Lonchura striata: one gene and its partner. The protein of the gene in region 2 purifies or fractionates together with the protein of the main gene of each other region. This does not show direct contact. Links are inferred from orthologs where the notes say so. Each region holds a gene or a part of one and is shown on either strand. Other genes may lie near its edges. The genes, in order: FAM167A and CDC42BPB.

What was found.
Region 1: the proteins of CDC42BPB (region 2) and FAM167A purify together in Homo sapiens (co-immunoprecipitation; 3 studies listed by BioGRID and IntAct, counting the BioPlex papers as one, with this or other methods). This does not show direct contact. The link is inferred for Lonchura striata from reciprocal best matches to the Homo sapiens genes CDC42BPB and FAM167A.

The regions. Positions count from the first base shown.
Region 1 is NC_134605.1:110,776,680-110,784,465, reverse strand, and holds the start of FAM167A (protein FAM167A), read right to left. Parts: upstream 3,080-7,786; 5' UTR 2,884-3,079; intron 1-2,883.
Region 2 is NC_134608.1:10,474,572-10,481,668, reverse strand, and holds the start of CDC42BPB (serine/threonine-protein kinase MRCK beta), read right to left. Parts: upstream 3,023-7,097; 5' UTR 2,863-3,022; coding exon 2,685-2,862; intron 1-2,684. UniProt on the Homo sapiens protein: Serine/threonine-protein kinase which is an important downstream effector of CDC42 and plays a role in the regulation of cytoskeleton reorganization and cell migration. Regulates actin cytoskeletal reorganization via phosphorylation of PPP1R12C and MYL9/MLC2.

The DNA of each region.
Region 1 (7,786 bases), on a different chromosome or scaffold from region 2:
AAGGGAAAAAGAGGGGCTTTCCATTCACATATCACCTGGAACAAGATGAGAGTTTGCTCCAGCACTCCCTTCTGCCCAAATGGCCTCCAGAAAGAGCCCTGAACACTGCAAGGGAGGAGGGGAGGGCAGTGGGGGCTGCAGAGAATCCATCAGAGGAGTGGAGGGATGCAGAGGTGGCTGCCCCAGCCCTGGCAGTGTCCAAGGCCAGGTTGGACAGGGCTTGGAGCAACCTGGGATGGTGGAAGGTGTCCCTGTCCATATCAGGAGGTGGGTGAGTTTTATGGAAGGCACCTCCCTCCCAGCCCAAACCATTCTGTGTCTGTGAGATTAGAGGGGACCAGTTTGCACTCCCTGCCCCAAGGCACTTCTCCCTGGCTGATTTCCAGCATCACCGGCAGAGTCAGAGCCTGTTTCAGTAAACACATCTGCACCTTCCTGCCCGACTGCACCTCATCCCTCCTGCGTCCTCCACACAGCTTCTAGCTGGGAGCAGGGCTGAGGCTGCTGCCTGCTTCGGATGGAGCCTTGCAGCTCCATTTTCAGACCACTTAGGCTCTCCTCGATCAGCAGATTTCCAGGCTTTGTGTGGAAATCCTGCATGAAGAAGTATTTGGCATTCCAGCAAACCAGTCTTCCAGTCAGCTGGAAGTAGCTGCAAACTGGGGAGATGAACGGGGGTCAATGCTTTCAACCCATGAGCCCAAACCAGGCAGGATTCCTTTTAGGAGGGAAAGGATTAAGGAGCAGAAGCAAAGGCAAGTTTTCAGGCTCTTGGTGAAGTCACTCTGTCCACCTTTGGTGTGTTCTGAGCTCTGTGGAGCCACGGATTATGTGCAAGGGTTTCTTCTCCATGCACTGCCCCAGGCTGCCAGCAGGTTTTGGAGCTCATCTCAGGGGTGGCACAGCTAACCTGTTCCCAGAGATGCCCCCAAAGGACCTGTGGCATGGCACAGCTGGTTGTTCCCCCTTTTCCCCTACTGCCACTCCAGGCACGGCCGCATTTCGGCAGGGAGACCTCTGTGCCTGTGTGCCCAGGGTAATGAAAAGGGCTGGGATTCCTTGGGAATGAGCCAGGGCAGGCTGAGAAATGCTCTCTTCCCAGGAGATTAGTACGGGGAGCTATTTTTTTCCCCAAATGCAGCATGCAAGGGTGTGTTTTCAGAAAGAGAAAAACAACCTAACCTTTTTGTTTTGTTTTGTCGAGCTCAAATCTGCCCAGCACTGAGCTCAGCCCCTGCAGGGACAACGCCAGAGCCAGCTCCCACTGGAGACCCCCAGGCTCCAAGTTAACATGATCAGAGGAGTGGGGTCAGCCCCTCGGTGACCCCCTAATCCCCTTTACATGCCCCCTGTCCCATCCAATTATCCAAACCATGATCGTCCAGCCTCTGTCCTCAGACCTGTCTTCTCCCAGTGCTGAGCTGCACTGTGGGATTTAATATCATTTAAGATCAGCCGGTTGCAAACAGACCCTCCTCTCCCTCCCCCCAGAAGGGCTACGCTGCTCTGAGGCTGATTATTTTTAATTTTTTTTTCTTTTTCCCTGCAGTGTCTCTGCTACATTTTGCAAACACCTAATGGCTGCAGGGCTGCTGCAAGCCCAGAGCCCGGCAGAAGCCGGATTCTTCCCGTCCTGGTGGATTTTTGTGGTGAACAGATTCCCCCCCACCAAGCTCCCCATGAAGGATGGGGGGAATTTAATGGGCATTTGAAAGCAGAGAAAAGCCGGGATGCAAAAACCAGCAGCAGCTCCCGTGTGCTGAAATGATGGCTGGCACAGAGCAAACCCACAGCAGCCAAAACAGGCTCGTTCCCGCTGGAAAGTGGGGAGTTCCTCGGATCCCGGGGACGAGCAGACAAAGCCGGAGGAATCAGCTGGGCACAGCTCCTCGCTGGAAGCCAGGAACTTGGTTTTCATCCATCCCCACCTCCCCCCGCCTCCGCTGAGGTCTCCGATGTAGAGAAGCTCCGGAGGGCGCAGGATGGTGGAAAAACGGGGGGTGCATTGCAGGAAAACGGGGATGGGGGTCCCTTGGAGAGGTACCCGTGGTGGGAGAGGTGTCAGCGGTCCGGGCTGTGGGATGGGGATGCTGCCTGGTGTGCAGCACCCCGGGGCGCTGGGGCTGGGCTTGCACAAACACTCGTGCTGGGCTGGCGCTATTATTTTAACAATTAGCCGCAAGCTGTTATAAAGGGCTCTGAAGAAGTTCTGCCTGGGTTTTTTTCCCCCCTCTCCTCGGTGTAAACGTGAGCTGCGAGGGCCAGACGTGAGCAGGTGGAAACCTGCTCTGCTCAGCACACGGTGCCTGGTTCAAAAACCCGAGGTAGATACGCCCTGCGAAGCCACCACGCTCATCCCACCATGTCTGCACTGCACAACCCCACAAACCTTTCCAGGTTTGGAAAGGTTTCCAGGGCTCCTGCACATCTCAGGCTGGGGGCAGAGGGAGCAACAGGTGACTGTCCCGAAAGCCGGGCAGCCTCTCCCCCGTTACATCTCACCCTGTGCAGGAAAATCCTCCTGGAGCGGGTGAAAAGCTCCACGCTGCTCCCGGCTGAGAGCAAAATCCACAAACATCATGGGAAAGGAGGATTCAGACATTCCCGATCAATGGGGAGCCACCGTGGCGGTCATTTCCAGGGAATGTCGGCGAGGCAGGAGATTGCGGCTGGGGGGACACTGTGCAAACCCCAGCCCCGCCACGGCAGAGCCAGCTCGCCAGACCCCGGTGCTGCTCGCTGGGGTCCCCATCACCCCTGTCTGCTGCTCCCCAGCTCCTTGCCGGGGTCCCCTCCAGCCCCGGGCAGCTCTCCGGCATCTCCCGTGCCGGGTGTCCCCAGGGTGGCTCTGTCCCCCCAGGCCACCACCAGAAACAAACTCACCGGGGCTGGAATCAGAGCGGGGATTGCACGGACATCTGGGCTCCCTCCTTCCACCTCGGGTCCCCAACTTGGTGTTCGCAGAGCGGTGTCACCAGTGCCTCCCGGAGTCTGTCTCATCCTCCTGCTCTGTGTCTCGCTTCAGAAATCTGTGCGTGTGGTGGTTGGTTTGTTGTTGGGTTTTTTTTTTTTTTTTTTTTTTTTTCATTTAGGGGACTCTTTTTTTTTTTTTTTTTTTCCAGCCGTTGCGTCAGGGCTGTTGCCTGGAGACAGGCGAGCTATTCCAGTTTGAGCTTTTCAGCGCCGATTTCCTCTCTCTCTTTCATTCATACCACCAAGCCCTGAACCTACCTCCCACCAAGCAATAACCCTGGAGAGACCTGAAAGGGAGGAGCTGCACCGCCCGGGTCCTAAACATCCTCCGGCACCCAGGAGAGGGAGGAAGATCAGCGATGCTTTCGGCGTGGAGAACAGGGATGGAGCGGTCCAGTGGAGGGCAGGTCCCCTCGAGGCTTGCAGGAGATGCCCCGAGGGCTGCTGTGCTCCAGAAGGAATCTACGGCTCTTCCCGACACCAACCTGCTGGTGTCCCCATGCAGATCGTGTTTCTTTCCATGGATATCAGCCCCACAAGGAGTTCGGGCTCCTCTGGCCTTCAGGAGAGCTTTGGGATAACGTTTTCCAGGTGCCACAGCTTGCCCACTACGTGTGCCGAGGGGAATTTTGCCAGGATGCATCAGCACCTCTGGGAAGCCCCAGGATGGTGCCCCGGGGCTCCAAGGCTGGTACCATCCATCCCCGGGCAGAAACCAGCTTGGGAACCAGCCTGCGCCTGAATTTTGTGCTGAGGAAGCTCCCGTTGCTGCCCCAGCGGGGCTGGAAACCATTTTAGCTGCCTCCGAGGAGGGACTGAGAGAGGCAGCGCCCCGGCTGCCGGCTGAGTGGGGTCCAGAATCAAAGGCAGGAGACAGAGGGATTTCCTTCCTTTTTTCCTTCTTTCGCCAGAAGTTGGAGGTTAACCCCTCAAAGCCTGGGGGCCGCTCTCCAAAGCATCCCACACATCACACATCTGGGGGCTCAGAGCCACCGCCCGCCTTTGCAAAGCTGGTGCTGCGAAGGGTTAAGCCTTGACCCCGAACCACCCAGGCCCCTCCCTCCATTCCCACATTCAGCTTTTGTGAGAGAAACCCCTCAAAGCCTTTTTATTCCTTTTTTTTTTCACCCTTCCCTTTTCCTGCCTGATCCATCCCCTTTCCCCCCCGAGGGCAACAGGGAGATTTACAGCCCCTTCCTGAGCTCCAGCATGGAAGGGCTGGGATTTCCCACCTCCCTTCGAGTGCCAGGGGTGCCCCAGACCCCACAGTAATTTAGAGGCTGTGCCTGAACAGGGTTTGGAAGTCTGGAGGGCAGAGAAAGGGGGTGCCCTGGATGCAGCAATGCAGATTCAGAATGAACTGCAGCATTTTCACATTTCTGATGAAAATGCAAATTTTTTTCAATTTTTTTTTTTTTTTTTTTGCTTTGCCAGCATCCATTTTTATCAGATTTCAGATCTGCATATGCAAACTCAGCCTGGTGATCAGCTTTCACTGTGCTGCAAGGAGGCACCTGAAGGCTGATGATGATGGAGAGGCACCACAGGAGATGGAAGAGCTGTTGGCTGTTTCAAAACTGTCTGACAAAGACCTGCAGGAGCATTTAGCAGCAACAGGAATCCCAGAATCCCAAGAGGAGTCACGTTGGAAGGTCACAATAGATCAACTGTGCAGCCTCCCTGCTCCAGCAGGGCCATCCCGGAGCACAGGGCACAGGGTTGTGTCCAGATAATTCTGGAATATCCCCACTGAAAGAGACTCCACTCCCTCTCTGGACAATCTGTTCAGTGCTCAGTCACTGCACAGGAAAGTTCATCCTCATGTCCAGGTGGAACTTCCCGGGCATCCATTCCTGCCCATTCCTGTTCTCCTGTTGCTGGGTCCCACAGAGCAGAGCCTGGTCCATCAAGCACGTAGAGGTTCAACGTTTCCAGCAACATCTCATCCAAATCAAAACCGATTCTGTGCCCATGAACCAAGCAGCACCAGGGGACAGACAGGCACAGGGTGAAACAGCCCCTGGCCCGGTTTTGGTGTGGGATGAGCAATCCCAGGACATGGCTTGGGAATGACCAAGACTGGGGCCCCTTCCTGACAAATGATTTGGATTCAGCCACCCAGATTTGATAGCCAGGAGCGTTGAATCACAGGGACGTGGCCAGACTGGGTCAGTCGGCCTCACGGCCAGAGCCCAGGTCTAGCAGGGTGAGTTTACAGCAGAGGTGTTGCTCCCAAGGCTGGATGTCTGTCTGTCTGTCTGTCTGCCTGTCTCCTCGCAGGAACAGACCACACACCGTCACCCGCTCCTTCTTCTGTAAATGTTTATTTTTAATTTGGTTGCTTAATGGATTTCAAATGAGCTGCCATAAGATAGCAGTGAAAGGCTGCAGCCACATCCCTCTGAAGCCAGTCCATGGGTTTGAATGTTTTTTGGCCTGGATTTGTCTTGGATAAGTTGTGTTCATCCAAAAAAACACTGGTGGGGAGCTGCTGAAGAAGAGTGGTGCTCCCGCTGGTGATGCAAATACTCTAACACCAGCCACCTGGAATGGACACCTGAAATTAGGTGTGATCAGTCAAAATAAACCTGTGCAACACCAGCACTGTCCACATCTATGGCTCAGTATTTTTTTCTTTTCCTCAGACACAAGAAATCCTTTTTGTTGCCCATAGAACTCCAGGGACTGCCAGCTCCCACAGCATCCCTGGGCACAGGACCTTTTCCAGAGGACTGCTGAATCCTCGGGAACACATGGATCCAAGCCTGAGTTATTGCTGGGATGAGGTTTTGCAAAGCCCAAGCTGGAAATTGCTTGCTGTAGTGGTAGTTTGTAGAATCATGGAAGGGTTTGGGTTGGAAGGGACCTTAAAGATCCTCTCATTCCACCCCTTACCATGGGCATGGACACCTTCCACTGTCCCAGGCTGCTCCAAGCCCTGTCCAACCTGGCCTTGGGCACTTCCAGGGATAGGGCAACCAGACTTCCTTGGGATCCCCTGTGCTGGTCTGAGCACCACAAACTCTCTAAGGTGCCTTAGAACCCCCTAAATCTTACCTGGACCTTTTGAGCTGCCTCTTACCACCCAAAATGGGCAGAAATGGCCATTCCTTTACCACAACAGCAGCAGCTCAACTCAGTTTGGAGTTGAACCTTCTGCTTCTTGCCCTTTCTGCTGGATTTTGGTGGTTTCTCCCTGCAGGTATCCTGCTAACAAAGCATGGAGGAGCTGGATCTCCTGGTAGGATTGTGTGGCCATTCTGTGGGACCGGTGCTGGAATCCGGCACAAGCATCAATGCTTTCTTCTCAGCTGGTCCTTAAATAAATATTTTTCCCCTAAAGCAAAGTCCCTGTAAAGAAAAGTTCCTGAAGTACCCAAAGGAACATATAGGAAAGCTGGGACAAGAACATGGAGTGACAGGACAAAGGGGAAAGGGTTCAAACTGGAAGAGAGTGTCTTTAGATGAGATTTTGGGAAGAAATTCTTCCCTGTGAGGGTGGAGAGGCCCTGGCACAGGATGCCCAGAGAAGCTGTGGCTGCTCCATCCCTGGAAGTGTCCAAGGCCGGGTTAGACAGAGCTTGGAGCAACCTGGGATGGTGGAAGGTGCCCCTGCCCATGGCAGGGAGTGGAATGGGATGATCTTTAAGGTCCCTTCCAACCCAAACCATCCTGTGATCTTACAGTTCCCTGGGCCTTGGTCTTTCAAGGATGGGAAGGGAAGACTGGTGGTCCCAACCATCATCGTTCCATCCTAGCCAGGTGGAGCCTCCATGCCCTCCACCGGGACTGGTACCAGAAGAGTCCTCGGGCATGCCTGGAGCATCACCTGGAGATGTGGCAGAGACACGGCAGAGGCACCTCCAGAGGGCAGCAGGTCCCCAGGTGATGCTGTCCCCTGGTGTCCCCAGGAGCAGCAGAGGTCACTTGTGGTCACCTGGCTGCTCACCTCCGTGGATCACTGAGGGACTGGCACTGGTCTGGTTCAGTCTTCAGAGAATCATTGAATGGTTTGGGTTGGAAGGCACCTTAAAGATCATCTAATTCCAGTCCCTTGCCATGGGCAGGGACACCTTCCAGTAGATCAGGATCCTTCCCTGGAGTATCTACTTTATTTTCTCTGTAGGTTTCTCCCAGGTAAGTCAAACATCAAAGAAAAAAGCAGAGGACAATTGTTCCTGAAATCCTACCAAAATCATGGTGGGAGTTTTCAGCCCATTTGTTTTTATTCAAATGTAAAAGTAAATCCATGTGGTGATTGCATAATTAACTTTGTGTGTGCACTGAGTTAGTGAATTATTCTTCCCTCAACTCAAAAATATTTCCCCAAGATCTGAAGGACTAGAAACCATTTCCATATAAAATCAAGACCCTTACCAAAGATTCTGATTGATTTGTAATGGCTTTCCTTTGATAAACCTACTAACCCAATTCATTACAGCAATCCATAAAAGTAGAAAGCATTTTAAAATCTCAGGATTAATATATGCTTTTTCCACTTCTCTTCTTTGCTGTAAAAAAGGGATTTCAGTTCCACTTCCACTCAAAATGTTTGTTGTAAATTAATTCCAGAAATGATAGTGAATAAAAATTCCTCCTCCAGTCTTATCTGTCCACCCAGTAAGGCTACATCACCAAAACCTACAGGTCTGGAGGGGTCTTTAAAAATGCTGTGATTGCCCTCAATTTATATCCTAGGTTTTGTGAGGAAGGGAAAGGTAAGAAAAGCCCATCTCAGACTCTTGCTTTAAGTTGGGGTGAATGAAGGGTGGAGTCTGCAGCTTCCCTCCCCTGTCACCCCAGGATCACTTCC
Region 2 (7,097 bases):
TTAAGCCTGTGGCAGGACTACCAGGAAGCAGCAGAGGAATTAATAGGACAGAAGCAATGGCATGCACCATTTGGAGTTTATCAGCCTCCACAGGTAAGGTGCACGGCTTCCGCAGATGTTGAATAGAGAGGAGGTAGCTTAAGTTTCACAAGATGAACATGGGACTTTTATTTTCTGGACTCCTCATTTCTCCAGCGTCCACCAGCTACAGAGTATGAACAGCACTGTGCTCTGTCAGAAAGCAGAGATATCCATGTCCAGCAACTACACCACACAACTCAGAATCAACCTCCTCTGCATCCCACAGCCAGAAAAAAATCCTGCCTCAACTACCACACCTGAACTCTTATTTTCTCTAGCCAATTATGAAGGCAAGCAAGCCCATCAGCCACATTGAATAATTTCAAGGGAATTTTACATGTGTGATACCTCACACCCAATTTTAAAAAAATGTTTGTTACATAGCTCATCTTAATTCAAATTTAATACCTATGCAGCTCATTTCCATTGCCAGTGGTAAGTCACCATCTTGTCAAAAGGAAATTCCTTCTGTCTCCAATTGATAAAGAAACACTGATCTTCAAAGTATATCCCAAATAGTTAACTACATTCTGATGCTTCTATAGACACATAACAGCACAGAAAACTTGTGCACATTAATCCAGAATATCTCCTAACAGCAAATCAGTCTCTAATTAAGACACATCATGACATAAGGAAGATGAGCATGTTTGGCATGATATTTTCCTTATTAGCTGGAGGCAGAAACAAGTTCCTCGTCAGTGGAAACACACTGTGAGGGCATTAGGACACAGATAAAAGGTGTCTCCTTGCTGGCACTTAGCTGTTTTTAACAGCTTGGAGGAAAGGAAGCAACACACAGTATCAACTGTAATTGGTTTTAAGGGTATCCCTTGTTGATGGAACACAAATATACAGTCCAGACTTAGGTCCACCCCCTTACCATCAAGAGCCTGGATTATAAACTTTTATCCCCACTCTGCAGCACCAGATGGTAGCTCACATACATTTCAATTATTTATTGAATAGGCACTTTGTTATACCAGAGTAATCCCACACTGCAGTAAAACCTACACAGTTTTTATTGCGAGCTATACTTTTCATCAAGTCAGTAACCTTTTCACATTCAGTGAACACAATAAATAGAATTAAAAAAGCGATTTTATAAACAATTGGATAATCGGCCTCTCCATCACACAAAAAATGACAACGCTGGGATCAATCAGTAAGACACAACCACCAGCAGCGCTATAGAAAAAGCATATCATTCTCTGGCCTGCCCCAAATCCTTCCAACTTCAGTTTTCAAAGTATGCTGCAGTCTGATCTATCACACTTAACAATTTGCTGGTGCTCACTCCTTCAAGCCATCAGCTTGAAAACAAAAAACTCTGAATGCTCTTTGCTGAAGACATACAAAGCTTCCATGACAAAACAAATAATCAATGTTCCCCAGGCTGCAGCCTTGCGGGGCAGATGTGATAAAGTGGTTAATTATTCAGTTGGCAATCGCATTACTGACGTCAATAGAAGAGTCCAGGAAGTGAATCCTCTTAGTTTGTTAGTGTATGACAAAGAGTGGTGGTCCCCACAGAAATTAAGGAGAACCAGCTGTCCCTTCATGTTAGTGCTGTCCTCTCTAGTGCTAAAGACACACATTAGCATTTACTGAAGTAAATCTGCCCCTCCCTCTCCCTTAGGAAATCCTTTGTTTTGTTGGTTGGCGTTTTTTTTGTTGTTCTTTGATTTTTTTGAAGAGTGCTCTTTTAAAGCCTAATTAACTGTACATGCATGGAACAGCTGATAAACGGGGCAACGTTCTCGTGAGCAATGATCACTCTTCCCTCCCCTCCAATTCTTATTCCATGGAGAAGTCACCTTCGTCATACATTATTATTCATAACTTACTCAGCTGAATAAACCAGTCAGCCACCATGGCCGTTTTAACATAAATTCGTTTAGACATGCAGTAGGGAAGGATCTCTGCTCTCCACATACCTCTAGTCAATAGCCTTAACTAACCAACATTGGATGTAAAACTTTTATCCTAAGTGCCATCAAAAGTATCCACATCTTCTTTTGTCAGTATGCTCCGGACTACTGGAGGTCTCTCGTTATCAGCCTGCTTAACAGTAGGGAACCATTAAACAAAGCTCTTAGAAAGGCTGCCTAGAAATACTCTGTCCTTGGGGGGCATGCCCAAATTAAAGAAGACAGCATGATGAACGGGAACTGTTGTTTCTTCGAGCCACACACACACGCCCTCTGTAAAGCAAGGAGCCGGCACCAGAGCAACATTTCAAAGCCTGAGCCTGGTGCTCTCCCCTCCTCCCCTCCCCCGGGTAGGAAACCCTCCGAGGAGCACTGGATTAGCCTGACGTTTCGGGCTAAGCCGAGCAGGGTTCCAGGCCAAGGACACTCCGCTGTGCTCCTGCTGCCGGCTGCCAAGCGGTTCGCCGGGGACCGAGGGAGGAGACCGGGAGGGTCAAGGCCCGGCCGGCGGCGGGGGTGTTCCCCAGGGAGGCGCCGCATCCAGGGGCGGCGTCTCCGGCCGCACCGGAGCGCGGTGGGATCGCGGTGGGATCGCGGTGCGGGGCCGCCCCGCCCCGCCGCCTCTCGCCGGGCACCGCGCGCAGCCCCCGCCCGCGGCCGCCCCGGGCTCACCCCACTCGAGGAAGTCGGACACGTATCGGTCGCGGCGGAGCGGCGAGTCGCGGCTGCACTCGGCGTAGACGCCGACCAGGAGGTCGAGCAGGGTCTCCACGCTCAGCACGCTGTCGTTCCGCTGCGGCCCGTCCAGCACCAGCTGCTCCAGCCGCTTCAGCCGCACCTTGGCCGACATGGTGCCGCTCGGGCGGCGGGCGCGGGGCACGGACGGGACGGGGCGAAGCGAAGGCCCCGGGGTTCAGCCGCTCTCGGCCGCCCCGCGCCGCCTCCCGCGGCCGAGCGGCTCCTTCCACGGGCTCCGCGTCGGGCACGGACGGTCCATGGGCCGAACCCGGCCACCCCCCGCCCCGCTCCGCTGCGGCCTCGCCCCGGCGGCGGGGAAGGGCCGATCCCGCTGCCGATCCCGCTCCTCCTCCCCGGGCCCGGCGCGTCCCTCGGAGCGCCTCCGGCCACGCCCCCGCGCGGCGCCCGCGCGCTCCGACGTGGGCAGGGCCGCGCGAAGCCGCGCAGGAAGGTTGGGCCGCGCGGCGCGCCGTAGCGGCAGATTCGCCGCGGAGGGCGAGAGCGGCCGCGTGGGCTGCACGTCCGCGCTGGCACTTTCGTGTTTCTGTGTGGGTGTGTCTGTGGGTCTGTGTGCCTGACCCTGTGTGTGTGTGTATGTGTGTGTGTGTATGTGTCTGTGTGTCTGTCCCTCTCTGTATATGTGTGTGTATGTGTCTGTGTGCCTGACCCTCTCTGTATGTGTGTGTGTCTGTGTCTGTGGGTCTGTGTGCCTGACCCTCTCTGTATGTGTGTGTGTATGTGTCTGTGTCTGTGTGCCTGACCCTCTCTGTATGTGTGTGTATGTGTCTGTGGGTCTGTGTGCCTGACCCTCTCTGTATGTGTGTGTGTGTGTGTGTGACCCTCTCTGTATATGTGTGTGTGTGGGTCTGTGCCTGTGCCTCTGTGTGTGTGTTAGCCCCAGTCAGGAGGTTCTTTTGGCTAAGATCTGTGTGTCCTTTCCAGCACGACAAAGGAGCCCTAGTCAGCGGGACAGGCAGCATCCCTCCCGCACGGACCTGCTGGCGCTGAGGAGCTTCAGGCACGCAGCACATGGCGATGCTGGTGTCTGTCTCTGTGCACAGAATCACAGACTCTCTGAGTGGGTCTGGGACACAGCGGGGTCTTGTCCAACCTCCCCACTTGAGCAGTGTCACCCCAGAGGACACAGCACAGGATGGCATCCAGATGGCTCTTGGATGTCTCCAGTGAGGGAGACTCCCAGCCCTCTCTGGGCAACCTGTTCCGTGCATGGTCACTGCACAGTAAAGGTCTTCCTCAAGCTCGGGTGGAACTTCCTCTGCATCAGTTTCTGCCCATTGCCTCTTGTCCTATTGCGCAGCACCACCAAGAAGAGCCTGGCTCCATCCTCTTGCCACCCTCCTTTCAGATACTTGTAGACATTGATGGGGTCCCCTCTCACTTGTGTTTTCTTGAGGCTGAACAGGACCTGCTCCCTCAGCCTTTCTTCATAATAGTGATGCCCCAGTCCCCCAGTCATCCTTCCTATCTTCTGCTGGACCTGCTCCAGGGGCTCCATTGCTAACTTGCAGAAAATACTCCAGGCCCAAGTATCCTATTGCTGAACTATCTTAAGTGTAATACTAAAGATCACACCTACAGGTCAGAAAGATCCCTGCCAAGATGAAGACACTTTCTCTGAGCATGTGTAGAAGTTAGCTGGGGTTATGTAACTTGTATGGAAATAACTAACCAATCTTAGTAGAGGGGCTGAGCTTGGTAAGTTGCTAACTCTGATTTTTGTTTATGAATAATGGTGCAGAAACTCCGGTGGCTTGTGCTTCATTTGTGCAAGACCACTGAGCACCCAGGCTTGCACAACCCTGAAATAAATTATCAATGTCTCTCTTGAGTGTGCAATTCTTGGCTTGTTGCACACCAGATATGATTCCCATTTCATGGACAACAGTGTGTGTGCCCTGGCCTTTGCCATCCCTGGCTCCAGGGCAAAGTCCCCTCCTCACTGGTCAGGCAGGTGCCCTGGGGACCGGGCAGCCTGCCCGAGCCACCCAGCCCCACACCTGGCCATGCCAGGCCATAGGTTCCCATGAAGGATGTGGTGACCCCAAGGCCACCATCCCCACAAGTCTTCACCAGATGCTGTGGCCACTGGGAGAATTCTCCTACCATATTTGGAGTGGGACCTTCTCTTTCCCAACCTTTGTCATGATTCCCTGCTCTGTGATTTGCCTCAATGGAGCAGGCATGGCTTTGCAGCAGGACATGGTGTCTGGAAGCTGTGGCTTTTTATACCTTTTAGAACCTCCCTGGTGACAGGACTTTATTTCTCAGCAGCAGCTAGCCTGGGCAAAAGAGCCCTGCGTGTTCACAGCTGCTGTCTTGATCCCTTGAAGGAGAAGGGAGCTGGGTGTAAGGCACTCAAACCTTTCCTCAGCACTGCTTTTTTTCCCATCACAGCTTATTCTGAGAACTGTTCTCTCTGGAAGCTGCAGCACCTCAAGGCAAGATGCTGAGTAGCTTGGGATGGGAGTTCACTTCTGCAGGAATGCAGCCAGTCAGGTCCTGATGCAAAGTCGAACTGGCTAGGATGCTGTTTCCTTGCCTGTCTCCCCCGGCAGGTAGTTGAAGTGCTGTGCGTTCAAAACCATGGCACTGGAAAGGAGGCAGCCGAGCGCTGGTTCTGTCTGGGCTGGGAACACCCTGCCCCCAGCAGCAGGAGCCAGACTGGGCTTTGCTCATGGTCAGACGTGACATGTCAGCCACTGCTGAAAGACCTGAACGTTCCCATCTGCCACCTCCAGGGCCAACGGCGAGGCCAAACCCAAGCAGGGCTGCACACGGGAGCTGCCCTTTCCCAAGGGTCTGGAGCACTCCCAGGCGGAGCCATGGATATTTATTGTGGAGCAGACCATGGGACACAGAGGGCCAGCAGCTGATTACAGAAATACCTGTTTCTAGGATCCCTTGGCCCTCAGGCATGTTTGATATCTCTTTGACAGCAGTTCAGTTCATAATAATCCCATCCTGTGCATTTGGACCTAGTACCCGGGTCAAGAAGATACAGGCGTGTAGAGACCTGTTAATTCGAAAAAATGCAAGTTGATAGAAGATCCTATGAATCACACAGAGAACCCATCATTTTAAAATAATGAAAACCCACAGTAGACTAAAATAGTTTTGTTTTTCCTGAATAACTTCTATCTCTTTGTACTTCTTTCTGCAAACATCCACTTGAAAAAAAATATTTTGCAGCAGATCTCGAAGGTTTCATTGTTCTCTCGAGGTGTTCCTCCTTGGTTACAGTTCCTTCATCTGACCTCATACTGTGTCGTATCACAGATACATTCATTTAGAGAAGCCTTGGTGTTTCAGCAATCACAATTGTTCTTCTGGTGCTGTCGTTTTATTTAAAAGGAGAGCCTAACATTTTCAGCTTCTTACCACTTTGGAGAGTAATTTTCACGCAGTTGATCAGAGTAATGGCCAGCGAGAACAGAGTTTTAAAGATCTTGTTACAATATCTATCTTAGCCCTTCTTATCTGTTCCCGCAGGTGGTGATTATCATCACCTCCTTTAGCAAGGAAGAGATAAAGGAGACTACAGCTGGAGAAGAAATCGCCATCTCTACCTACAGATCGCTCTGTTGTTTCCAGTCTCCTCACTCTGTTTTGCATTAGCAGAATTCAGGGGTTCCGGGAGCTATTCCTGACTGGCACCAGTAGCAGGGAAGAACCGGCTCCAGTGCTGGGAGAACGACAGATGGGTGACAGATGATATTGAATCCAGCTTTAACAGCTATGGAAGCTTTAGTACAGCAGACCAGCACGTGCAGGATTATTTATGAGTGATGCTATTGGTATTCCACAATTAGTTGAAATTTTGTTTTAAAAAAACCTTGCGAAGAGTTGAAAGCCGTGTGCATTGTAAATAATTCTGGGTTTTCATAGCAAGGGTTTCAGCTACAGAAAACTACTGAGCTCAAAGGTGGCATTTGATATTCCTACTAGGAATTGTACATAAACTTGGAAATGTAGCTGAAGGTATTCTGCTTCTGTTACTCATCTGTGCCAATTCCATAGGCTAAAAATAAATGTGATCTGGCTAAAATGAATTAAATTATCCATCTTACCAGTTCCTTTTTCCTGTGGCATATTTAAGTGGAAAAATACAGCCCAGTTTTTCTGGAACAGATCTGATTTTAAATTTTTTAAGGGTTTTGTTTGTTTGTTTAGTTTTTTGGGTTTTTTTTTGGCAAGTGAACAGGTTCTCAGTTTTCTGGAATCATTGTAGATCTGCAGAACTGAAGACACAAGGTCCATGTAGCTACTGAAAGGTTTTTATGAATCCAATTAACTCAATCAACTTAGGTCTGGAGTTTGGTGTGGGTT